Linked DNA regions of Bombyx mori. The protein of the gene in region 1 interacts with the protein of each later gene in a pairwise test. Links are inferred from orthologs where the notes say so. Each region holds a gene or a part of one and is shown on either strand. Other genes may lie near its edges.

What was found. The genes of interacting proteins can lie anywhere in the genome.
Region 2: the proteins of GRIP and coiled-coil domain-containing protein 2 (region 1) and ADP-ribosylation factor-like protein 1 interact in a two-hybrid assay, tested with the Drosophila melanogaster proteins (2 studies listed by BioGRID). The link is inferred for Bombyx mori from reciprocal best matches to the Drosophila melanogaster genes GCC185 and Arl1.

The regions. Positions count from the first base shown.
Region 1 is NC_085121.1:11,080,634-11,084,942, reverse strand, and holds the start of GRIP and coiled-coil domain-containing protein 2, read right to left. Parts: upstream 2,881-4,309; 5' UTR 2,646-2,880; coding exon 2,619-2,645; intron 2,173-2,618; coding exon 2,058-2,172; intron 1-2,057. Other genes in the region: uncharacterized protein K02A2.6-like, read right to left, coding at 4,034-4,309.
Region 2 is NC_085119.1:17,325,103-17,329,193, forward strand, and holds the start of ADP-ribosylation factor-like protein 1, read left to right. Parts: upstream 1-1,197; 5' UTR 1,198-1,815; coding exon 1,816-1,819; intron 1,820-1,901; coding exon 1,902-2,118; intron 2,119-2,631; coding exon 2,632-2,743; intron 2,744-4,091. UniProt on the Drosophila melanogaster protein: GTP-binding protein involved in protein trafficking; may modulate vesicle budding and uncoating within the Golgi apparatus.

The DNA of each region.
Region 1 (4,309 bases):
TACATTTTAATAATCACAATAATTTATAATACAATAACAATTATGTTGCTGATAAGGAAGTGGCTGATGAATGGACATCACCCAAGGCTTGCTTAAAAAAATATGGTCACCACAACACCACTAGGCCACCAGTGCATTATATTTTTTTAAACATTTATCTATTTTAGAATGCTACCGACAGGTTGTGACTGCCACATTCCACCAACATTCCCTACAGTCTGTAATGTAACTTATGGAGTCATCTTACCTGGTAGACTCTCTTGTAAAAAAACTAAGATGAGATTAGCATCCGATTTAAAAACCTACATTAGCTTCTATGTAGAAACTTAATATTATAGATATTACCCATTAGTTCCCGATATACAAAGTCATTCCAAGGCCAAGCTTAAAACATTACCGAGTAGGCATTGGTTCATCATAAATGATAAAAGATTTTATATAAAATGACAGAACCATCTCAAAGTCAATATCTAAGTAAAGTAATATGTGTAAACGTGTATGGTAAAATTATGTATTTAGTTGTGTATTAGGTATAATTATTAAATTTATATATTTAACATTAATTTCTTACAATTTTCAATGAATTTATTTAAATTTATGTATTTCTGTATTTATAAGTCAGTAGTAGTAGTAGTGTTATTGGTAGAACTCGTAGAAGTAGTAGTGGCAGTAATCATTACTTGTATTTATACATTAGTTAATGTATAATATGTTATATATATGCTTATTTAACCCATTAACACTGTGCGTGTTAGTATGATCACTGTTAAAATATACATATGTTTATTAATGACAAGTAAAAATTAATTTATTCAACATTACTCATTATTTTCATTTTAGTTCACTATCAAAAAGACTTTATGATTTAATGATTTTAGTTCTATTTTATGTAGTTGTTGTTGTGATTTTTATACATACTGTTTGTTCAATGTGTTCATATGAACACCCTAAGCGCTCAGAGTAAATATATACATTTCTCATTGAACAAACATTGAGTTCATTTATTTTTAGGGACAATTAAAAGATGTGATAGACCTCTTGATAATGCCAAAAGAGCTTGCTAAAGCAATTTGTATAGAAGCGCTAGAATGTGCTCAATTTTTAATGAAGATTTCAGAAAAGATCACTGTGATCAGACAACATTAGTGAATGTCAACTTTTATTGGGTTTTAAGATATATCAGGAGAAAAATCTGAATAGCATAATTTTCCAGAAGATTAACAAGAAGCATTAACATACAAACTGTATTTTGATAATCTATTTACTAGTATCTCAATGCTTATTATACATTTATGTGAGCCTGCTTATAATGGCACTGGTATGTTCAGAGAAAGCAGAGTACTATTAAAAGATCACTTGTCTCAGGCAAAAAAAAGAAGAAAGAGGTATTTCAAACAGCAAACTTGTTCAAAGGAAAGTATTGTTATTATAGCATAATGGCTGGATAATGCTATAGTAATGAGAAAGCGCATCTTGCTACAATAGATAACATAAAATTATAAGCATACCTCAACTTTCTCATTTTTACTTTAATTACATTCAGAGGAACATCTATTTCAAAGTTTAATAATTAAAAAAAGCAGCATTAATGGGTTAATAAACATGGTATGTTGTACAAACAAACAAACATGTTGTATAGAATTACAGAGAACAGCTGTCAAGGCTTTAATAAACAAAGATTCCACGTGACCGTGACTACTCTGCCAAGAGTAAGTCTATGACGATGATTGTATAGAATCTAATTTTTCTTTAATTTATCAACTTTAATTAACTGGAGAGAATACCTTAAGTCCACCAATGCACATTAATATATATGAAGTGTAATAAATAAATAATGCACACAAAAAACACCTGAACATCTATATTTGATAGTAGTCGAAGAACACCCTTCTGCATAAAGAAATTGTATCAGTAACCATTTAAACAAACTTAATTCCAATCAGAGCCTCAATGTACACAATTATGGAAAAAACTTTAAAAGTGCATTAATTGGATTTAGTTACTATTGCATTTAACATACTTTTTATTATTTAACATATTTATCTAGCAGTACTCACCTGATTTAGCTTGCTTAGCTTTCTGAGCTATTACAAGTAAACCCTTGCATTTATGGATCAAATCTTCTCTGCTTAATTCATCAAAAGGACTCTTTTTTGGTGGTCCATCTTGACTCTTGAATTAAAATAATAAAGGCTTTTAGGTAAATAGTCTAGGTATTTAACATTCATGTTGATTACAAAATATATTCCTGAAAAGCACTAAGTAAAGGAAATTCACTGCTCTGAAAACACATCTGTCTCAAGGAGGCTAAGAATATTCAATGACAGGTACCCAAAGAAAGTAATCGTTTCTAAAGGATTTGGGTTATAAAGGCCCACCACTCTTTTATTATTAAAAACATATCAACTATAAGGATGTTGTAATGCGATTAAAACATTATACATTTAAATCACATGATTACAATTAAATTATTTAATTGAAACTTATATTACGAAATACAATTAAGGAACAAGGATAACATTTTATTCTGTATCATAAATTAATCAATTGTTACGCTCTTTTTTTCTTCTAAATTGCAAAATTCTGCATTAAGCTGTTTTAAAAATGTTTTTTCTAACCGGATGGTTCTGAATCGCTTCCATCATGAAATTGATTTTCTAGTTAGGAGCAAAACCTATTTGTTCATCTCAATCGGGAGTTTATATTTGAAAATATTAAATAGGTAGGTACTCCATTCAACAATATTATTTGACTACACGTATTATTATTTACTCCATAAGGCCCTCATAAGGGTATAATCTATGTTTACTCCGAAGAATTAATTGACAACCAGCAGTCTTTTAGCATAAGTTATCTATGACATGACCACTAGTGTTGCTTTTAATTCAAGGTATTCTCCGTATAATGAAACAATGTTTTCAAGACATAGCATAAAATATAATAATGATAGATGGTAAAAATGACAATGTGTTCGAAGTATATTTCAAATAATGGAATATGGAAAAGAAGGTTACAACATTCCTCCCCATCTACATCTCGTTGATCAGACGGCGGGGTGCCTGTATACTAGAGGTGGCTAATATAACCATTAACCAATAAATTTACCGGTAAAAAAAATTAACACTTCTATTCGATAAATAAAATTACCCAAAACGGTTAAAAATACCGTTTAACAAACACACTGCGTGTAGTGGCATAGGCAATTATTGGAAATTATATTTATGCAAGTTTCAACTTTATTTCAACACGTAAGATTCATTTTCGCCTTGCAGATGTTTTCAACTTATCATGTAAAAAATATTGAATTTTATGATTTCATTGTATGCTCTATACCCCTCAAAATAAAGCACAATATTTAAGTTGGTGTATTTTACAGTTAATGATAATTTTTTTCGTTAAAAAATTGAAATGAAACGATATTTTTACCGAACGCGAAGATGACGCGATTGGTTGATTTTTTAAACGTAATATTTTGTTTGATACTTGACATTTTGGCGGCTCAGTGCATCTTTTCTATTATTTTGGTAAAGTTGTGTTTTTGTATTTTAAGAGATTTGTACTTTGTGTTTGTGTGTTTTGACTTTGTTTTTGTGTGTTTGAGACTTTGCTTACTTTGTTGTTGTGGATTTTTAAAGTGTATATCTAATTTAAAATGCCGAAACGCAATGCAGAAATATGGGATCATTTCGAAAAGTGCTTGGGAGCGGAAAAAATTGCAATGTGTAATTATTGTAAGAAAAATCAATTCAAAAATATTGAACCAGCGCACCGCCGTGGTGGAAAATTTGTAAAGAGTTTTTCCCACTAATCATTTCGTACTAATTAGTTAAGCTAGTTAGCCCTAAGCCTGTAGCTTCTAAAGTTCACTGAATCGAAAATAAATGTAAGAAACTCTACCATTCAAGTTTAACATTAGCAAAATTAGTATTTCAACGAAAAGATTTACCGGTATTTTCAACCAATAAAAATATCGGTAATTTTTTTTATCAATTACCAGTTAACAGATAAATAAATTCAACCATTAACGCCATCTCTACTGTATACGTCGATTACTTCGACGCGGAGCAAATGGCACAGGAGTGGAGACCGGAGCAGGTGAGGAGTATAACTTCGAATGCTGTGAAGGTGAATTTGGAGAAATTTGTACATTTGTAGGTGACTGCGGTGTAGGTAATGGTACTGCTGCTGAATTCTTGTTTTTAGTTAGCCTTTCGTTAATTGTTGTTTCCATTCCAATGTCTGGAGAAGCAGTCGCCGGCAGCATAGAAGAATGCGCCCTTTCATTCCTCGGGGTTTCTGAGGTGGAGGA
Region 2 (4,091 bases), on another chromosome or scaffold:
TGTGTACAGGCCGCGTGTGCAAGCACTACACTTGCAGAGGTCATGACAGAACGATGGAAATTTTTGCATTACTGTATTACAAAGGGACAATAAAATTTATTTCGTTTGCAAATCATGGGGCTAATCGTTAAAAATACTTATTTTGATATTTTGATTATATTAACAAATATAAAATAAAACACTATCCAGATACTTCAATTTAAAGCGTCATAAAATTCATCTCATTTATCATACTCAGGTTTTGACTCATTTTAAAGAAGCGCCTTATCATATTTAATATCATTCTGCATAAAATAGCTTTTAAGTTATTTGCTGCAGGAAAGGAAACTTTTGAAAAGCAGACTGCTATCTAAAATTCAGCAGTAATATTATATTTCTTTAGTTTTTTTTTTTATATTAGAAGCCTATATCATTAACTTTTTTTGCTCGACGAACTCAGCCACAGCCAACCCTATTTTTTGTTTTTCCCCTACCTATATGCTGATATCCTTGAGAGACTAGGTATGTCAGCGTTACCCTAGCTCTTGGGGCTCAAACCGGGGGTGTTGCTAACACTGGCCTTAGCAAGAACAGTGCTTCGCAGAATCTACCAGCGGATCGCAAACGCGACCCACTGAGAAGATCCGGCGAGAAACTCAGTGGGCTGTGTCTGTGGGTTAATTTCCTTCATAGCGAGCGACGGGTTCGACGAGAACGGTGACCAGTGCTTGAGGCACCTAAAAGCACCGATATTAGATCGAGAAGATCCGAAATGACGTGTTTAGGGCGACGTCGAGCCATGAGAAGAGGCTTAAACTGCGTAAATAGTCGATAATCCGACGCTTCGCACTCTCTACGCATTAATAGAGAGTCGAACTATCCACGGTTCCTTATGTCAGGTGGTCATCATGTTCTGCGAAGCAGTTCTCTGGTTAGGGCAGATGTGAGCAACGTCTTTCAGCATGAGCCTCGTGAGCTCGGCCACTACTCATGATGAAACCAGAATAGGCTATTGAAGCTGCTGACAAATACGTAGGAAAAAAGGAGGATATTGATATCACAACGCAAATTCTACCACCCACATTGAGATAAGAAGCCGAAGTTTCAATTCTATTCAATAGTGGCTATCCCACCTCTAAGTTGAAAACCATGACTGATTCAGTGATTACGCAACACAAAAATTCAGAATGATGACACATCAGCACGTAGACCCAGGAAGTTATAATTCTACCTACACGTGGTAGTGAATTTTCTAGTGGCTACATATAGTAAATAGTTTCAAATCCTGCAGATAATAAAAAAAAAACATAAGTAATAAACAAAGAAACTTCTTGACACAATGTTGATTGCGATACGAGTTAATTATTAATGTGTTAAGTGTATAATCTATGATTAATGTGTCTTTTTTGGTTCTTACATAAGAAATTAATTGTTAAGCCATTGACCACAAGAGGAAAATGCTTTTTTTGGAACAGTTTGCACATAGCGTCATTTTTTGTTATTGAACTGGCGTAACAAAATTTTTGATTATTATTTGAGAAAACAGTGTTGTTTAACATTCTACCATACTTTAACAGTTTTAAACTACGCCTTTTCGTCACAAGTTATAAGATAAAAGTTTTCAAAATCTGGCAACAAAATAATTGAGTGCTTGCTTACACGTCAAATGACTGAGATTTCTATAAAATGTACAATATTTATTGTTAAATAGGATATTTAGTGTGCTCCATGTGTAAATAAGTACAAAGAAACAATTTCAAAAATCTTTAATGTGCAAACGAAGTGCATAAACATTCCTTATTAATAGCAATAAATTAAACTAAGCTTATCAATAAAATGGGTATGAGTTTATGAGATTTTTTAAATTGAATTTTTACCTAAAGTATTGTTGTGAGGAGTGTTGTATATTTTTTATATTGTAGGTGGTCTATTTAGTTACTTTAGAGGATTGCTGGGTGCAAGGGAAATGCGGATTTTGATACTTGGATTGGACGGTGCCGGAAAGACGACAATTCTTTATAAATTGCAAGTCGGTGAGGTCGTGACCACTATACCGACGATTGGGTTCAACGTAGAACAAGTCACATATAAAAATCTCAAGTTCCAAGTGTGGGATCTTGGGGGACAGACCAGTATTAGGTAAAATGTTCGCTTTGAAGGTTAGGACTTTGTTACAAGTGGTCATATGCAATTATGCTGTCAAGATGTTCAAACTCGATGCTGAAGTCTCAAGTGTAGTACATTCTATTCTATTACTATACAATACTATTGCTTATTAAAATTAACTAATGCTTTGCAGCAGTGCTTTAGAATACAACCATTACAACAAATTAATGTAAATGTTAAAAATATTAATATTTGGTTCACGGCTATCACCATATATTTCAATCAAAGACATCATACATATTTATTATCATACACTATATTTCTCAATCAAACTCATCATTGTGGTCTTAAAAGATTTAAACTAAACTATAAGTCTGTGTGTGTAATATGTAATACTGTGTAATACTCAAACACTCTAAATACTTTAGGAAAATTCAAAAAGTTTGGTAAGCCAGCATAATTCAATATTTGAAAAAAATACAATTAAAATTGACCAATCAATAGAATTTTGTTACTTAAATGTAAAAACATGTATTATTATTTCAGGCCTTATTGGCGATGTTACTATGGCAACACAGATGCAATAATATATGTTGTAGACTCAGCTGACAGGGATCGAATAGGAATATCTAAAGATGAACTTGTGCATATGTTAAGGGTGAGTTGAAAAAAATTAAAGCATACTGTATAATGGATACTATTTTAAACTAAGAGTCCTTAAGAAGATGACAGAAACTAAATCATGTGATCTAAATCACTTGATGTGTATCAAGTAGAAAATTCCAATAAGACGAAATGAATATAATATAACAAAAATATCTATGTATAAACTAGGAAATTATTTAGTGATACATTTGAAAGTATATTCAGGTATATAAATGTATTGGTAAATAATTAAAATTTAGAGAGATATTTCTGATATCTATACATCTTGTACAAAAGGTATACAGAGCAATATTTAAAAGTCATCGTGGCCTAAAGGATAAGACATCCGGTGCATTTGTGGTGAGCGATGCACCAGTGTTCGAATCTTGCAGGCGGGTACCAATTTTTCTAATGAAATATGTACTTAACAAATGTTTACGATTGACTTCCACGGTGAAGGGATTCACCCACCCATCTAAGCAAAAAAAATAAATTATAATAATAACACTTGCCGGAAACTGCCAGAAGCAGTGTGTTTTAATTAATAGTTTTTTTTTGCTTTGTTTAGCTCACAGCCCACCTGGTGTTAAGTGGTTACCAGAGCTCATAAACATCTATAACGTTAAATGCCACCATCCACCTTGAGATATGAGTTCTAATGTCTCAGTATAGTTACAACGGCTGCCTCACCCTTCCAAGCCGAAACGCATTACTGCTTCACGGCAGAAATAGGCAGGGCGGTGGTACCTAGCTGTGCGGACCCACAAGAGGTCCTACCACCAGTAATTACGCAAATTATAATTTTGCGGGCTTAATTTTTAGTACACAATATTATTCCTTCTCCGTAGAAGTCAATCGTGAACATTTGCTAGGTACGTATTTCATTAGAAAAATTGGTACCCCGCCTGCGAGATTCGAACACTGTTGCATCGCTAGATACGAATGCACCGGACGTCTTATCCTTTAGGCCACGACGACTTCATGGAAGAATTAGTGAAAACTATCCATACACCTATTTGAAATAAGCATTTTTTTTAAGACACAATTTAAAAACAAAGCATTTATTTAAAAAGTAAATGCATGTTAAAATTATCATCAGGAATAGACACAAATTTTACTAATTATATGTCTGTACAATCAGTTGATGGTATCTGATAGTACAAATACAACACATTATTTCACTTAGCTATTAGTTATTTAATGCACAACATTGGTAAAGATAAATGAAAGTTGTGAACGAATTCTGATGAGTAAATTCTTGAAACAAACGTTTGTTCTGTGAGTAACAATAGGTTGCTTTTATTGATTCATATAGACAGATGAACTTCACAGCCCATTCAGTGTTTAGTGGCTACTGATGC